4 linked regions of the Arabidopsis thaliana genome follow. The protein of the gene in region 1 interacts with the protein of each later gene in a pairwise test. Each region holds a gene or a part of one and is shown in the gene's direction. Other genes may lie near its edges. The genes, in order: DRNL, AT2G42750, AT5G49210 and AT2G38300.

Region 1 (3,533 bases):
TATATTTTTTTTTTCACTACTCCACCCTATATATTTCAAAGCTATGATAATACTTCTTTTTTTTGTTGTCATAACTCATAAAGTTACAAATTAATTCTTTGTAGTTTCGAAAGACGGAAGCATGCATCAAAATAGAAATATAGGATTTTCTTTTCTTAACAGTTTTCCCGTTTTCTCCATCTGACAAATTGACGTCCATATCGTTTAGGTTTAGAATATTAGTCTGATTTCTATGAATTAAAGATCTAGCTAGAGCCGATTATTCAAACTACTTCATGAATTAATCTTCTGTTGATATGTTGTACCGTGTACGTACAAGTTGATACCACCGTTATATAGGTTCAAGTTTTCCACAAATTTCCACATTTTTTAAAAGTGATTTCGATTCCTTACAAACTGAGCTCTGTGGTGTTCAGCTTCATAATCCACTAATTCCACAAGGAGCTCACGACTTCTCTTCCTTCAACATCTACTGTTTGTAGACATGATTTGCCAACGTTTTGTTGAGGAAACATAGTTTTGTTTTTGTTTGCCTCACATATTTATTCCATTTTTTTGTTTGTTATTTTTTTCTTTTCAATCTGCATATTTTTTCGCGGCACAACCTAAATGAAAAAAAAATTACATGCAATTAGATATGATTGTAAATCGTTATATATATAACAACGGCAAAATATTTAGACACTCCTAAAAGACTTCTGCGTTGATATATTTTTTTTCTCCTACGCGATATATGTCAATAATTACGTGATAAACATAATAACATACGTGATAATTGCATGCAACCCTTATATTTAGACGATTGATAATTTTTTCTCCTAGGCGTGATAAAACTTTTTTTGACGGATTTTTTTTTTTTGCATTCAACCCTTATATTTAGGGCTCGAATATGAATGGAGCTTTACAGACATTAATTGATCAAGAATGTGAGAGAGATTTAGATTATTTTTTATGTAAATGCGAAATTACATTAATTATCAAACATATATATACGAAATTAGTGGTGGAGATTGATTTCCGTAAACGCAAAGGGTCATTAGTCACAATCGAGCTACAGTAGGAAAGCCCTAAAGAGGCTACACCATGAAGAAAGAGCCCTAGTTGAGACAAATCCACGTGACTTTGGTTTACAGATTAAAAAGCAAAACCCTAAATAAGCAAATCGACCATAATCTCGTAAAAAGAACAGACAAAACACAACCTCATGTAGAAGGAACAATTTCTGCGCGCCGCCAGTGTTATTAATTCAGAATCATAATTTCACGATTTTCAACCCTCTCCTTTTAAGCTTCAACTCCAACATCATAATTTTCCCTTCCACAAACTACTGTATAAATCACTTTTAACTCTATTGCTTATTATTATTACTGTAATTCATTATTATTATAAATTAATGACCATTGATTATTTCCCAAAACACAATTAAAGAAAAGTGCGTAAAGATTAAAGAATAATATGACCAACGGAAATAGCTGAAAACGATGACCTTTGAATTTGTTCAAAAATAAATGAAATCAATGATTTTATAATTTTAATTTGTAAATTGTTCAAGAAAGTTTTCTGAAATATATTCATGTCTTTCACTTAAAACAAAAGAATAAATCGACCTTTAATCAACAGTATCAAAGGACCTTTATACTCTGACAATAAGAAAGAATGGTGCAAGGGTTAAGATAAAAATAGTACATCATAATTATGAATTTGTTACTTGTCAAAAAGACATGAAATATGTAACTTATAACTGCTTTTATGCAAGTCCGTAGAAAAGGAAAAAGAAAAGACATGTAAGTTCGAACGTGGAACAAGAACTTCGTTAAACGTACTTTTGCTTTCTGCATCTCTCATAGATTCACAACTCACAAGTCAATAAAAGATGCAATGCAAGTCCATTTTTTTAAATTATATATTGGGTCAGGTCCATCTTAAATTAAAAACAATAAAAATGTATATTTTATTTTCTATAAATACGTAATCAGCTATCATCACATTCAGGTGCCTCACAACCCTAAGACAATCACAGAACAAAAAGAAAAATTCTTAGCTTTAAAAATTTCCCTTAGGTCAACCATGGAAGAAGCAATCATGAGACTCGAAGGTGCCGAGCACAGAGAAACCAACATCCATTCTTTGAAAAGAAAGCCATCAAGAACTTCCTCGACAGCTCCTGGCTCTCCCGGAGGAGTAACTACCGCAAAAGCTGCCTCCGGCGCCGGCGCTTCCGGTGTCTCTACGATAAGGTACCGAGGCGTGAGGCGTAGGCCATGGGGTCGTTACGCAGCTGAAATACGGGACCCATTGTCCAAGGAGAGACGATGGCTCGGAACATTTGACACGGCCGAGGAAGCAGCTTGCGCATATGACTGCGCCGCTCGAGCCATGCGTGGTCTTAAAGCTCGAACCAACTTCGTCTACCCAATGCCTTCTCTCGACTCTTATCACCACCGTATTTTCTCGTCTCCTCCAATGAATATGTTCCTTCTACGAGACGTGTTAAACTCTCAGTCTCTTTCTCCGTTAACCACTTTCGCTTACCCGCCTTGTAATCTTTCTAACGTAAACGACGTTGTTCACGAGTCCTTCACTAACGTCAACGATGTCTGTGAAGATCTCTCGCCTAAAGCTAAGAGGTCAAGTACCATTGAGAACGAGAGCCTGATATCAAATATCTTTGAACCAGAACCAGCTAGTTCTGGTCTTCTTCAAGAAATTGTTCAAGGCTTCTTACCAAAACCTATCTCTCAACATGCTTCTATACCTCCAAAGAGCAACCAACAGTCGGTTGGTGTTTTCCCGACGATGCCAGAGAGCGGTTTTCAGACAGATGTTCGTTTAGCTGACTTCCATGTCGAAGGAAACGGATTCGGTCAGGTTAAATATCATGGAGAGTTAGGTTGGGCTGATCATGAGAATGGGTTTGATTCAGCTAAGATGCAGCAGAACGGAAATGGTGGAATGTTTTATCAGTATTGCTTTCATGATGATTATTAGAATATTGTTGTTGTTCTACTTTTTACGTGCTTATCACTTCACAGTTTCTTTAGGGTTGTAAGAAATGAGGTTAAGGGTAACTAACTCAAATCTTTTGTCTTTTAATTTTTCGTCTAGTGCTATGATCAATTTATCTCTATGTTTTAGCAAAGAACAATTTTTATCTGAGTATGAGCGAAGTTAATTAATTGTGTATGACATATGTCGGTTATGAGCAAAGGTAATAACAAAAATAAAGTAAAAATACTCGAGGTGCTGGATGAAGACAATACCTAAAGGACAAAAATATATATCTTGAACAAATTAAGATTTTTTTTTCTTTTCTATAAGTTGACTTCAGAATCATAAAGACAGCCTTTGTCCTCTTGCTTTTTCTTCTTTCCCTTTTCCCTCTCAGATCACCGTAAGGGCATAATTATATTTAGGTTCACAAAATCCTTTGTCCATTAAAGTATTTGCACCATCAAAACTCAGTAAACATATACTTAAGGACTCGAATTTGCATCAATGTTTATAACCCTTATTCAAAAAAACCATATCCCAAT
Region 2 (4,961 bases), on another chromosome or scaffold:
GTTCTTTTTCATACAATGCAAAGTCTAATACAAAAGTTATCATGTATCTCTTCAATCACATTGATTACCATAGAAATGAAAAAGACGAAACAGAGCAGACAACATACCTTGCTAAAGTGCTACTTGCTACAGAGTCGTGAAAGCTCTCCACTTTCAATACCAATTTAATCGTGAGATCAAAAGTGAAAACATCGAATACTAGGGTTTTGGAAAGTTTAAGAGAAGAGACGAAGAAACTGAAACAACTTATTATAAGCAATTTCCTCCATTTCCACATGAGGAAAGAGTAAAGCAGAAAGACTGATGAAGAAAAGGTAAGTAGTCTGTTTGGGAAAGAAAGTCACGTGAGAGAAGCGTGGGCCTTTAAGGGTAAAACTGTCATTTAAATAGTCGCCGTTCTTTACACTTAGGATTAGGGCTTCTAACATTTAAATAGTCGTTTCGTTCTCCGTCTCTCCTTTCCCGTCGGCCGGTGATAATTTCGCAACCCAAATTCCAAATGGTAAGTTTCAGTTCTTGGATTTGTATGATTTTGTAATGTGAATAGGGATTTGAAGATTTACTTACTTTTGAAATTCAGGCGTCGGAGAAGAAGCTATCGAACCCAATGAGGGACATTAAAGTGCAGAAGCTGGTTCTCAACATCTCCGTTGGTGAGAGTGGAGATCGTCTCACCAGAGCCTCCAAGGTTCCTCCTGTTTTTTACCCATTCTCTGTGGTTTTCACTCTTGTTGTCACTTGGTTATAATCGATTGATTCGTGGTTACTTGGTAGGTTTTGGAACAATTGAGTGGTCAGACTCCTGTTTTCTCCAAAGGTTAGATTTTTTCTCATATTTGAAAGCTTACAAATAGTCTGGTTGATAGATTTAGTAATCTAGAAGAATTTGGGAAACATAGTTTAGTTAAGTCTATGAATGGGTGCATGGTTTGATGATGAATTTGAGATTTTGGAATCCAGTAAGTCCCTTATCTGGTGGTTTGTGATAACTTGATAAGCCTACCAGTCCAAATTAGGAGCTGTTCGTTTCCCCGCTTCTGATATAGTTGCGTTGTGCACTCTGTTTTATATGCATCGCTTTTGGTTTGCTCTGAGAGACATGATTTGGTTTAGCTTCTTCCATTGCAATTTTCAAGAACCCTTGTTATGTGTGGCTTTTGCAGCTAGATACACTGTTCGTTCTTTTGGTATCAGACGTAACGAGAAGATCGCATGCTATGTAACCGTCAGAGGTGAGAAGGCAATGCAACTACTTGAAAGTGGATTGAAAGTCAAGGAATACGAACTTCTCAGAAGAAACTTCAGTGACACTGGTTGCTTCGGTTTTGGTATTCAAGAACACATTGATTTGGGTATCAAGTAAGTCAATCCCCTTAAATCATCCTGTCATAACACTTGGGGTTCACCACATTCTTGGTGATACTCATTGATCTTTGTTTCACTTCTTATAAAGGTACGATCCATCAACTGGAATCTATGGTATGGACTTCTATGTGGTCCTAGAACGTCCTGGCTACCGTGTAGCACGTCGCAGAAGGTGCAAGGCTCGTGTTGGTATCCAACACAGAGTAACTAAAGACGATGCAATGAAATGGTTCCAGGTGAAATACGAAGGAGTCATTCTCAACAAGTCCCAGAACATCACTGGCTAAAACAATTCCTCCTAACTCTTTCTTCTGTTTTAGAAAACCCTGTCTCAGTTTTGTTTACTTGTCTGAATCTTAATCTTTGTACTTTATATGCATTATTGGCTTTAGTTTCAGTTATTTAAGTATCTAATTTCGTGTGAGGATAAGCAAGATAAGAAAATTTTGGCGGGTAGTTGAAGCGTGTGGAGACATATAAATCCACTAGCTGACACGTGCCACGGACGGCTAAGCACGCTTTCGCCGATCGCCGATCGCCGCTAGATTCATCTCGGATTCCTCCAAATAAGCTTCCCTGGTTCTTATCTTGCCACGTCAGCATTTCTCCCTCGTACGCCTTAAATTCTTCACAAAAATAATAAAAATATTAATTCAAATAAATGTTCATCTTCTCCTACGAATGAAATTGAAATTAATTTGAGCGATCGGAACAGGATCGGGTCGGATCTTTTGAAGTTCTTCAATGGCGCAGATACTTTCCCCTGTTTGTACGGATCTTTTGAAGTTCCAGAACTCAGCTCTTAGCTCCAGATCAGGTGCGTCGCCGCGGTTCTCGGCGAAGACCACCGGTGCTTCTTCATCTTGGTACTTACCTCGGTACGCAGGAAAGAGGCGAACCGATTCAATCGGAAGATTGAGAGTTGCAACTGAGGATGCTTCTTCTCTTTCCACCGGTGATGTCGCCGATGATTACTATGCCGTTCTCGGACTCGTAAGAACCAAGGCTATTTCAATCCGATTTGATATATGCATATAGGGATTTTGAAGTGATGATTTTTTTTTTTGGTTTAAGTTGTTTGCTTATGATTGAAACTTCTTGTGTATCATGGAAAAATACTCTGCATTTCATATGGTTGTAGCTAGATTCATCTTTGTCGAAATTGTGAAGCCTTTGACAGGTTACAATCATTAAGATCAAAGATTGTGACTTTAATAACTCTCCTTTGCTATGTCAATAGCTTCCAGATGCTACGCAGGAGGAGATTAAGAAAGCTTACTATAACTGTATGAAATCGTGCCATCCAGACTTGAGTGGCAATGACCCCGAAACCACAAATTTCTGCATGTTCATTAACGATATCTATGAGGTGAGTTTTTTACTTGACTTCCTTATAGATTTTTGTAAGCGTTTAGTAAGGTCCATATGCTTTTTCGTTTAATGATTTACCGTTGCATTGCAGATTCTCAGTGACCCTGTACAGCGTATGGTTTACGATGAAATTCATGGGTATACAGTGACTGCCATCAATCCTTTTCTTGATGACTCCACCCCAAGGGATCATGTTTTTGTTGATGAGTTTGCTTGTATAGGTATTCTTTCTTCAATTTAGAGGCTGCGTGCTTTGATGATCTGGAAAGTGACTACATTTGCGTTTGGTGTTTAACAGGCTGCAAAAATTGTGCCAATGTGGCTCCAGATATATTTCAAATTGAGGAAGACTTTGGTAGAGCAAGGGCTTGTAATCAGCGTGGCAACCCAGATTTGGTTCAGCAAGCAGTTGAAACATGGTAGGTTTATATTCTGTAGATGCAACTGATTGTTATAGTTACTTCTGGTGGGCAATTTCAGAGAACTGATTAGGAGATGCTTTTGGTTTTGTTTTCAGCCCGGTTGATTGTATCCATCAGACTTCTGCTGCACAGTTGTCATTGCTTGAAGATGAAATGCGAAGGGTTGAAAGAGTGAATGTAAGACGAGCATTTCCCTTGTAGCTATCTTGTTGTTCATTGATTAGAAACAGAAGACATTGCTGAGGTTTCTTGATTGTATATTTGTTGCTGAACTGCTGCATTTAAGCTCTTGGAATTGTCATTGATTGATCAGGTTGCTCTGATGCTTTCTGGAATGGGGTCAGGAGCAGTTGATGTTTTCAGAATGGTAAGAAGGAAATAAAACCCGCTCGGTTCGGTAGCTGATCAAAGCTGAAATGTTCTTAGTCATTTTTTATTCCCACATACAAATTGGCAACAATGTAGCCTATTGTTCTTTAATTTTCATCTAACTGATAAGTCTTTGAATCCTGTTTCAGGCGAGATCTCGATGGGAAAAGAGGCAAGCAAAAGTTTTGGTATGAACTTTCATCACCTTTGAAATCCTTGGAAAACTATTTGCAACATAATATCTAAACATCACCTCGTGCTTACCTATGTTTCAGAATCAAGCTAGAAGTAGAATGATGAAGAGGAAAAACACAGATGAAACACCTTCCTATTGGGATAACCTCTGGGGCAAACAGAATGAATACCAGAAAAGCGGTAAAATTGATGATAGTAAACTCTCCTTCCTCTTTGGCTAATGATCATACAACATTACATATTTACTCATTTCGGTGTATGTCATGTGACAGAGGAAGAAGTACAAGAACGAGCACAGCGAGCCGCCGCAGCAGCCAGGAGATGGAGGGAATACTCACGAAGAGGCGTGGATAAGCGCCCCACCTTCAAACTCCCAGACTCCGCCTCCAGAGGAGACAACTGAAACCATAGACAGAAATCACTTATAGTTTATATAGGTAAGCAGGTTTCTTACTAGATTATATATCTATATATGTAAATGTCATGTCGCGTTCTAGACCTGTATAGCTTTGTTCTCACATCGATTAAGGAAGAAAAAAACAAGTGTATTTAACGTTTTCGATTTCTGTATTATACTATTTAAAAAAAAAGTTTGCAACGCCTAGATAAAATTAAAATACATTAGTTATGTAATATGCTCGTGATCATTGAGATTGTTCGTGTCAATTATTTCCTTACAAACGATTTCAAGAGCGTATGAATGTGAACATACATACTTATGGTTTACCCCTTAAAGTATTAATTCTCGATATATATAGGAATCCTGAACAATTATTCACGCAAGTTATAAATCATCCACGATTAATAAGGTTTTTAAATATTATTCTACATTAATTAAGTGAATATTGGTCTGTGAAAAGTATAGAACGCAACGATGAAATTACAAAGAGAGAGAGAGAGAGGGTGGATCTTATATAACATTTGCAAAACAGTTAATTTATGTTCAAAAAAATTAGTTCATTATTACGTAATTTCATCAATTATTATGCCTAGACAAAATAAATAGTAAAACACTAGTTTCTTGATAGATAATACACTAATAAGTCGTTATCAACGTGATTATGCACAACAATTGTGTGAGAATTATGTGATAGTGACGTGGCAATAAACCATATGACAAGTGTTGAGCATTATTGGATATGATTGGCCCACCACTCAAAAACCTCATTATAGATTCTCTTCTCCGACAAGGACACTTTTGTTCTGGGTCAATGGTCGTATCAGAGATCTCTCTCACCA
Region 3 (4,435 bases), on another chromosome or scaffold:
CACTCTCGTCTCCACTGAATAACAATCCTTGAGGACCAATTGTGAGTGTGGCGATCGTGTGCGTAGAGAACATCCTTCCTCTTTCTTGAAAAGATGGTAGGTCGAAAATGCCAACGGTTCCGTTTTGGTAAGAGCAGAATATTATCGGTTTGGCTTCTGCATCATGCATACCAGAAAGAGCATGAACACTACTCTGTTCTTGTCTGCGAGTTTGAACAACTTTCAAGATTCCGTTTTCAGAATAAGCCCAAACTTTTATGGTCCCATCCAAGGAAGACGATATCAAACATTTATCCCAACATAAGAGTGAAGTGACAGTGCCGGTATGTTGCTTCAGGGTCATTATACATTGCAGGGTGTTGAGATCCCACATCTTGATTGTTTTATCGACAGAACCAGAGTATAGCATTTGACCTCCAACAGCAAAACAAGTGACTTCACCACTATGTCCCTCAAGAGATGTCAAGTATTTGAATGGATCAGACTCAGAGTCTGTAGTAGCTTTCCAGACTAAGATACTACCAGAACTTGTTCCAGCAAAAAGCATTCCGTTTGCAATAGTCATTGCATTCACCTGACCAACCACCCCTGCTGCTTGAAGATGCAAATCTTGACTGGTTTGAACGTTAAAAGCCTTTATAGCGTTTGGCAAGCCAAGGAAAACCCAAGGGCCTTCACTGATTAGAGACCCTGCTTCTGCGTCAAGGTTGATGGAATGTACACACTGACCAGAATTGCAGTCCCAAACTCGCAATGTACCATCAATACTGACTGAAAAGAGTTTATCTGAACCCTCAGGGAGAGCGATCCCCTTTAGTTCCTTATTGTGCCCTTCAAGAGAAGCTACCATGGCCAATCCAGGGAAACAAGACCAAGAGTGTAAGAACTGGCACTGCTCACCCCTCTTGCACTTTCCATCTTTCCAATACTTACATACCCATTTTCTGAGACTAGAAGATCTCATTGGCCCACAAGCAGCATTCTTCCTCGCCAAACCTAAAACTGGTGGTTTCGGTGACACATCATTGGTCCTTGGCATATTATTGCCCTCGGGTGATTTGTACTCTTTTGACGTCCAAACCAGACTCCTTGAAAACTTATTTGGACGGTCGTAAGGGACATAAGGTCTTCTTCTCGTAACTATATCTGTTGCGAAATCTTGCTGTCTCGCAACAACTCCGTGTGAGTAGTATCTCCTTGGCGCTTTGTAATCCATACTGAGAGAGAGATCAAACGTATGTAGAGGAATCTAGATCTTCGATTAGGGTTAACGATTTCTCCAACTCGTTCGGAGAGAGCCAACAAAAAAAGGAAATTTTGAGACGGAGTAAAGAACATGTAAAGAGTAGAATGATCTGGGGCTGCAGAGGAATGGTGTATATATAGATGAGCGTGGCGGTTACGCTATAATAATTTCTATTGGGCTTAACTTTAGGCCCATCATTCGTGGGTCCAATTAATGTTCAATTCTATCATTAGGTTAGGTCATTAATTATACCCTAAAATCTCTGTACTAGTAGAAAAAAAGAGGTCTTTATTCTGTATACTAATTACTAATTAGAGCTAAATCAGGATGAGTCCATCGCAACTTGTCTAATTACTGTTAGCCAAGACCACCCTAGAGTCAATATCATATGTTAACAATGATGTAAACCTTTTAGTATTGAAGGCCAAAGTAGTAATTAATCCATTGACTAACTTCTTTTAAACCTTGAGACAGTGAAATACTAACTCATTCAACAAAAATGGATCAAGAACAAGGAAATATTCTGATTAAAGCCAATGTAGTAATTAATCGACTGAATAACTAACAATTTTATGATTCTGATTAAAGCCAATTTATTCGGTTATATTCGGTTTACATATTTGATTTAGAATGTTTAGTTTTATTGGTTTGGTTCGAGTAGAATAAAATATTCACTGTTCGAACAACAACAAAAAAAATTCCTTCATTTCTCTCTCAGCCCTAAAAAAGCTTCACGCCGGTTTGTTTCACCGCCGTTGTGCTTCTTCTTCTTCTTCTACCTGGGTTCTCTCTCAAACAAACAAATCTCCGACGACTCATTCGTTCCTCCCAGGTAAGCTTCTTCGACCAATTTTACTTTCGCATTTTTCTCCGATTCACAGACCCTAGCTGTTCCCATTAATCAGGATTTAGCCAGAAACTTCTAGGGATCTAATTGTTTTTGAATCTGAATCTGTATTTGAGTTTAACGTTTTGTCTCCTTGTGTAGAATCAGAAGATTTAGTGAAATGGCTTTTTGCAATAAGCTAAGCCGTTTCGTGAGGAGGCAGAGTGAGAATGCTTCCATGATTGGCTCTCTCAGGTCTTTCTCTGCTGATGCCACTCACCATAGATTCCACCAGGAGACTCACAATTTTCTTGAGCCAGAATACTATATTGGTAGCTGGGAAGCTCCGAGTGATCCGAAAGATGCAGAGAGAAAGCTTGCTCAGCTTAGGAGAGATTATGCTAAGAAAGTTCGAGTGTATCGTAAAGAGTACATTCATGAGATTGAGATGCTTCGTGTTGAGAAACAGCGTAAGGATGAGGCTAGATTGTTGGCTGAACGAGCTGCTAATGAAGAGAGGCGACTCTTGAAGGCTGAGGCTGCTAAGGTTAGAGCTGAGGAACGTAAGATTGCTGACGAAGAGTTCAGGCAAACTCTGGTGAGTTCACTTTCTCTCTTCTCCGTTCTTTGTTTATTGTATAGAAACCATGGTGGATGTTTGATCAAGTAGTTGGATTAGTGTGAGATGATTCTTGAGTAAATAGGAGAATGGGTTTGTCTGGATAAGGTTCATCTAGCATGTGGAGAATCAAATTGTTGTTTTCCTCTTGAAAATTTGGAACCTTTTCCTAGTTATGCATCAGGGTGTAGTAGTATTATATAGAAGAGAACTTCAAGGTATAGTATTATGTTTGTGATTGGAAGAGAACTTTAGATTAGAGCTGATGGAGATGTATGACTAAGAGCTTTGATAAACGTTGCTTAGCATCAAGTGGAGGTTTTGATGAATCCTGTAGTTATCATTGTCTCCTTACATTAGCTGTTGTTGTTCTGGTTACAGCTTTAGCATCGTACCTAACAATCAAAAATAAGATGGATTTTGATGCTGGATCTTGATGCTTTTAATGGGAATTCTTTTGAGGGCAGTGAAACTTGTTAGTTAGAAGCTTCCTTTGTTCGGGCTGTAGGTAGATGAGACATCGCACACACACACACTGACCAAAGCAGTATTCACTGATTCATTAATTGATTTCACGTACTTATGTCTGCAAATTAATTCAGAAGAGTAGTACCACTCCTAGGTTTCTATTTCTAGTTTGAGTTCCTCATGTTTCTTGGTCACAGCCTCAGAGCAGTAATGGTCATAGTGCTTTTCTTCTTAAAGTTGTAAAACTGATTCAAGCTTGATTCACTGACTGGTTTATGTGTTTAATAAACTGTAGATAAAAGAAAGAGCAGAAAAGCTAGAGATGTGGAAGATGATGGGCCAAAAGAGGGAAGAGAAGATCAAAGAGAGAGAGAAGCTACTGCGTGAACAGAGTTCACTATGGATCGAGCAAAAAGAACTGGAGAGGAAGATTACAGAAGCCTTGGTTGACAACGTTGTTCTCTAAACCAAAGCTTCTCCTCTGAATCTTTGTTTAAGAAACAATCACTTTAGTCCTTTTGTTGAAGACAAGTCTTTTTTTTTTCTTAGAGAAGAAAGCGAAGGCTGTTTTAGCCTTTTTGCATCAAGCACATAATGAGAATTGTGGTCTTGTGACCAATCTCTTGTTTGTTGTGGTTCTGGTGTCGTAATATCATCATTAATAAGAAGTTTTCTCTTGTTGATTGTTATCAGTAGAAGATTGTTTTTTGGTAAATCATCTTCCTCATTGGTTTCGAATATAATGAACCTAGGCCCAATAGTTAATCGAGTAATGGGCTTAGTAGGCCTATCAGCGTGACATGTTTTGTAAATTTATACAATGCCATGAGGGACAATATTGTAGTTTTCTATAGGAACCGAATTTGTAAATTTCTAGAGGCCCAATAGTTAATTCGAGTAATGGGCTTAGTAAGTCTCTTCAATGTTTGATCGACAAGTACAAGAATCTTTATCAACGGTTCGTAAAAATTGTCTACGGTGATAGAAAAGATGAGGCTGTAACTAGGGTTAAAGTAGATGATAGCCCGCAAAAAACAGAGTCGGATAAGATCAATTTGGAGGGAAAAAGGAAGAGAGGAATGTTGCTGGACCAACCTGAGAGACCTCTCAAGAAAAGGAGAAAATTTGCTATAAGCTAATCCATAAGAAAAAACAAAGGCCGGTCTCATCAAAAGTACTAAACAACACTTGTGTTGTGTAGAGTTATGATATCTAGGGACATAAAAATCTAACCGATATCGAGGAAGATATGTACAAATGCGAAGATCAGATGTTC
Region 4 (4,627 bases), on another chromosome or scaffold:
GCTTGTGAAGGATCGATGGCAAGTCTCTTTACACGTGGGGGGAATGACAAAGTTCTTCTTTTTTCTACTTCATCAAAGCTTACAATTTCCTCTCCTCAACAACTTTTTTTGTTTTTTTTGGTAGGGAACAACTTTTTTTGTTTGGCTAGCAGAATTTTATTTACTAACTGGAAAATATGAACTTAAGCCTATAGTTTAATCTCATGAACTCATAATCTCCATTTAATTCTGCAACGAAGTTTTATTGGATGGCATGTACCCGAATCTATAGTAGATATATACAACTGGAAAACAGTATTGTATATTGTTTTCGTGATGCACCAAAAACTTATGATTGAAATTTACGTAGAAATAAAACAGTACAATTTGTTAGACATGTTAATAGAACTGATCTTGTGAGTGCTCATATTTCTTGGAATTCCAAGAGGACTTCGAAAGCATAATTGGATCTAAAATATATTATATCATAAGCATATATACGTGAGAATGTATTTATCTTATTGTTTTCATAATAGAAGTGGTAAAGGTAAATATTCAAACTAATTGTCGAAATATGCGGAAGAGGTAGTATTCAATGGCTTACGATGACTAAAATCGTAATTACAAAAATCACCATAAACTCGTCTAAAAAGACTTTCTTTGCAATTAAAATTAAACCATATAGGACTTCGATTTATACGGTGTCAAATTTTATAACTATGTATGTTAATATTACATATTTTTGGAACGAACGATGTAAAAAAACGGCTCAACTAACAACGCTATTCATCGCTTCACGGGGTCGGATGTGTAACGTAAACCAAGCAAGGACCACTTTACACATAAACTAATTCTCTCATACGAATCTACAAAAATACATATAAAGATAATATATAATTTTGGGGTAAGAGAGGAGCATTGTCCCGTGATTCTCGTCGAACAAAAAACAGAAAAAGAAAGAAAGAAAGAGGTATGTGTGATGATGTGGTCTACATCAAAGACAGCTGAGCAGTCACACGCCTTGTAATCGTAATTTATTCGTCTATCTACCACTCTCGCTCTTCCATTTTTTGCCTTTAGCATTCAATTCCACGCAAAACCCTAAACCTCATAATCTCATCAAAAAGTTTTAAAGATAAATATATATGAATCTACCCATTAATCAATATATTAGTTAGTATTGTGATTTATCACTTTCTAAATACTAAAAAGTACTCAGAAGATTAGAAGGTTGATTTTAAAAATAAATTTTCTAACTAATTTGATCGCTATATCAATAGAAATGAGAGGATTTAAAATCCATCAAGTATAGTTCACTTCGATAAATTAATATTTTGTATAAATTGATTCATGTCACGTACTGGATCTTTTAAATCGTTGAGGATCAAAAATTATTTTGCAACAAAAAGAAAAACAGAAGGAAAAGAAAGTTTAGTTAACATTAATTTTAAACCAAATGTCTTAAGAAAAAGACAATGATCTCGATCATCAATGATCCTAATTCCGACAAAACTACTCTGAGGTATATTATAATTTTGTGAATTCGATTTTGTATTTAATTATTTTTCCTGGAAACTGCATCACGGTATCAAAAAATTTAAAATTCTTCATTTTTTTGTTTTCTTCTAAACTCAAATAACGTCTCAACTATACTAATATCTTTCTTATTTTCTTATAATTATTAATTTTTTTTTTTTTTTTTTTTTTGTTGTTGTTGTAAATAGTCTTACTTATACTAACTAATTCATTCATAGACTGTTAGTCCCGATACATGAATTTTATCTATATCGATCTTTGTAATCGAAATGTTTGTTTGACGAACTAAGGCAATCTAAGACTACTAAGAATATGCTATATATAGAGCCTAATTTCTATCACACTCATCTTAGCCTTTGGTGAACAATAATATAGAATAAGTGTTACTTGTAATTTGTTGGCATGTTAAGGGTATAAACAACAATTTATCTCATTTATAGGAGTAATAGTTTTCTCCCTCCATGGTTGATATTAATATGCATCCACATATTAAAATATACAACTATTTATATATAGAGCTGTCTATAGTAGAAAAGGGCCGAAATCAATTAGCTGTGAACAGAAAAGAAAACTTTTTAACATATGCAACAAGATTTAGGTGAGGGTTTGTCTACATGTTCCGGGAAGAGAGAGAGAGAGAATCAGAAGTGTATCTTGATCTAGGGTTCACAGACAAAATCTCCATGCTTTGAACTAAGCAGAATTCATCTGGTCTTTTATCTCTTTCATATCAAACCAAAGGATTGATCTATCCATATCGTCCAAAACCTATATCTAGCTAAGCCTAGAACTTCTCTATCGTTTACCACTTTCTTTCTATATTTCTTCTGAATTTGTAACATCAGAAGTAATAATGATTCCAAGTATGGAGGGAGGCGGGAAGACTAACAGAGAAGAAGAGGAGGAGGAAGAGGAAGAAGAAGAAGAAGGTGAAGAGAGTAAGGTTTCAAGCAATAGTACAGTGGAAGAGAGCGACAAGAAGACTAAGGTTAGGCCTTATGTGAGATCTAAAGTCCCTCGACTCCGGTGGACTCCTGATCTTCATCTTCGCTTTGTCCGCGCCGTTGAGAGGCTTGGAGGTCAAGAAAGTACGTCCATAGCTACTAACTTCATCTTTCATCACCTCCTCCACATATATATAAAAGCATAAGCAATTTCTTAGTTATTCTTAGGTTAACTATTTGGTCAAAACCTCATGTGATTTTCTTTTTTTTAATGTGTATGTTTGGTTATGTATAGGAGCAACTCCAAAGTTGGTTCGTCAGATGATGAACATCAAAGGGCTTAGTATTGCTCATGTCAAGAGCCATCTACAGGTATTTGATCTACATACATCTAAAACGTACCTATATATGTGTTGTATTTTCGATTTCGTTTCAAATAATCTCTGAAATTAGAAAAAAAAAGAAATCACTAAATTGTGTATTGGAAAATTTTAGATGTACAGAAGCAAGAAGATAGATGATCAAGGTCAAGGTATTGATTCTTTCTATTTGTGTTCATTAGTTAGTTATCAAGTTATACATGTATAGGCCAATAAAGTGGGGTTTGAATTGTTGGCAGCTATAGCTGGTCACAAACATCTCTTCGAGACTTCCACAGATCGAAATATTTATAAACTAAGTCAGCTACCGATGTTCCGAGGCTATAATCATAACCATGATTCTCCATTCAGGTTGATATAACTTTTTTTTTTGAAAATTTTAGATTTTATGTGTTCCTTAATTTGAATGATATTCCGTTTTAATTATATTTATTCGGAAACTAAATTAATTGTCTTCTTTTGTTTTTGGTAGATATGGAAGTAAAATTTCAAATGCTTCTTTGTGGAACTCTAGCTCTCAAGGAACAGAAAGGAGTTTGATAGACCAAATTAGGCCCGGTTTAATCCGCAACGCGTCGGTTAGCAATAACATCCGTGGTAGTGATTATTGGACTAACAACAAGTCTTTCCAAAACATCTACTCTTCTTCAATTTCTAATCACTTTCCGAAACTACGACACGATCATCACGAACGGACCAATTCAGTCACATTCAACAGCATTCAAGGACACTCAAGAACTTTTCAAAAGTTCCATAACGGTGTTGAGGAGAACACTAATCATTCTTATTGTAGCAAGACAAATGGCAAAAGAGACGCAAGTAGGAGCATTGATCTTGATCTATCTCTTAAGCTAAGACAACCGGAGAAGACAATTTTGGAAGAGACAGAAACAGCAGCAACAACAACGGATCAAACGTTGTCCTTGTCGCTATGTCCAGGGTCGTCTTCGTGGAAAAAGAGCCGACTGATGAAAGATGAAGAGGATCGGACGGTTAAGATTGGTCAGGAGAGTACTCTGGATCTGACTCTATGAATTATATTTAAGAATGAGACAAATTCTAAGTGAGATCTTGAGGTACTTACCGATATCTTAATATTCAGTGTCGTTGTTGTTTATCATTAATCATGTATTTTCTTTATTATTAGAAAGGAAACAAAAATGTTTGATTATATTAACGGTCTTGAGTTTGTTTGATACCGCCAATTTGTATCATCACATATATAAACAAATATTACTAGCCACATCATAATGATTCGATCTTTTGTCTTCTCATAGCAATATACTATATGAAAATTACATATACATATAACAACAAATTTACATCGATTAGAGTATCTCTGCTGGTGAGCTTCATTCATTTGTAGATGAGACTTTTACGTAAATAGTACAAAAATTTTGGTTTCGTATTTATCCGAACAGTACATGGACAATTTTGTAGTTCCAAAACATGTTATAGTTAATAGTAGTGTTTTCAATAATTTCCAAAATCCATCTTCACTCATTTTTCCCTTTTCAGAGACATAGTGAAACAATTTTACACTATGCAAATCCGAAGCCAATTATTTTTGAGGTTTTTACTATATGTGAACAAGATTAATACTTAAACAACAAGACACACCTCGTTCTTTGTAAATATTAAAGAGGTTAAAGATCATAATACAAAAAAAAACATAGAAAAAGTTCACAAATCATCAAATCTTTTGAGTTCATTATTCTATATAAAATTTTATCTCGTGAAATGTTTATTGTATAAGGATGTGATTAGTTGCAAACCAAAAATTAATGT

The links.
Region 2: the proteins of DRNL (region 1) and AT2G42750 interact in a two-hybrid assay, tested with the Arabidopsis thaliana proteins (one large-scale study listed by BioGRID).
Region 3: the proteins of DRNL (region 1) and AT5G49210 interact in a two-hybrid assay, tested with the Arabidopsis thaliana proteins (one large-scale study listed by BioGRID).
Region 4: the proteins of DRNL (region 1) and AT2G38300 interact in a two-hybrid assay, tested with the Arabidopsis thaliana proteins (one large-scale study listed by BioGRID).

The regions. Positions count from the first base shown.
Region 1 is NC_003070.9:8,713,844-8,717,376, reverse strand, and holds DRNL (DORNROSCHEN-like protein), read left to right. Parts: upstream 1-1,998; 5' UTR 1,999-2,067; coding exon 2,068-2,988; 3' UTR 2,989-3,012; downstream 3,013-3,533. UniProt on the Arabidopsis thaliana protein: Required for correct embryo patterning and cotyledon organogenesis. May positively regulate the gibberellin signaling pathway leading to germination, hypocotyl elongation, and leaf expansion.
Region 2 is NC_003071.7:17,791,295-17,796,255, forward strand, and holds AT2G42750 (DNAJ heat shock N-terminal domain-containing protein), read left to right. Parts: upstream 1-1,970; 5' UTR 1,971-2,109; coding exon 2,110-2,358; intron 2,359-2,605; coding exon 2,606-2,734; intron 2,735-2,827; coding exon 2,828-2,957; intron 2,958-3,034; coding exon 3,035-3,155; intron 3,156-3,253; coding exon 3,254-3,335; intron 3,336-3,471; coding exon 3,472-3,525; intron 3,526-3,676; coding exon 3,677-3,715; intron 3,716-3,802; coding exon 3,803-3,902; intron 3,903-3,994; coding exon 3,995-4,125; 3' UTR 4,126-4,434; downstream 4,435-4,961. Other genes in the region: RPL16A (ribosomal protein large subunit 16A), read left to right, coding at 500-502, 581-688, 775-817, 1,164-1,359, 1,454-1,652.
Region 3 is NC_003076.8:19,947,840-19,952,274, forward strand, and holds AT5G49210 (stress response NST1-like protein), read left to right. Parts: upstream 1-1,851; 5' UTR 1,852-2,078; intron 2,079-2,234; 5' UTR 2,235-2,253; coding exon 2,254-2,670; intron 2,671-3,072; coding exon of another isoform or gene 3,073-3,078; exon of another isoform or gene 3,079-3,454; coding exon 3,455-3,625; 3' UTR 3,626-3,874; downstream 3,875-4,435. Other genes in the region: AT5G49200 (WD-40 repeat family protein / zfwd4 protein (ZFWD4)), read right to left, coding at 1-1,216.
Region 4 is NC_003071.7:16,043,421-16,048,047, reverse strand, and holds AT2G38300 (myb-like HTH transcriptional regulator family protein), read left to right. Parts: upstream 1-2,032; 5' UTR 2,033-2,368; coding exon 2,369-2,603; intron 2,604-2,754; coding exon 2,755-2,831; intron 2,832-2,954; coding exon 2,955-2,991; intron 2,992-3,078; coding exon 3,079-3,190; intron 3,191-3,311; coding exon 3,312-3,873; 3' UTR 3,874-4,100; downstream 4,101-4,627.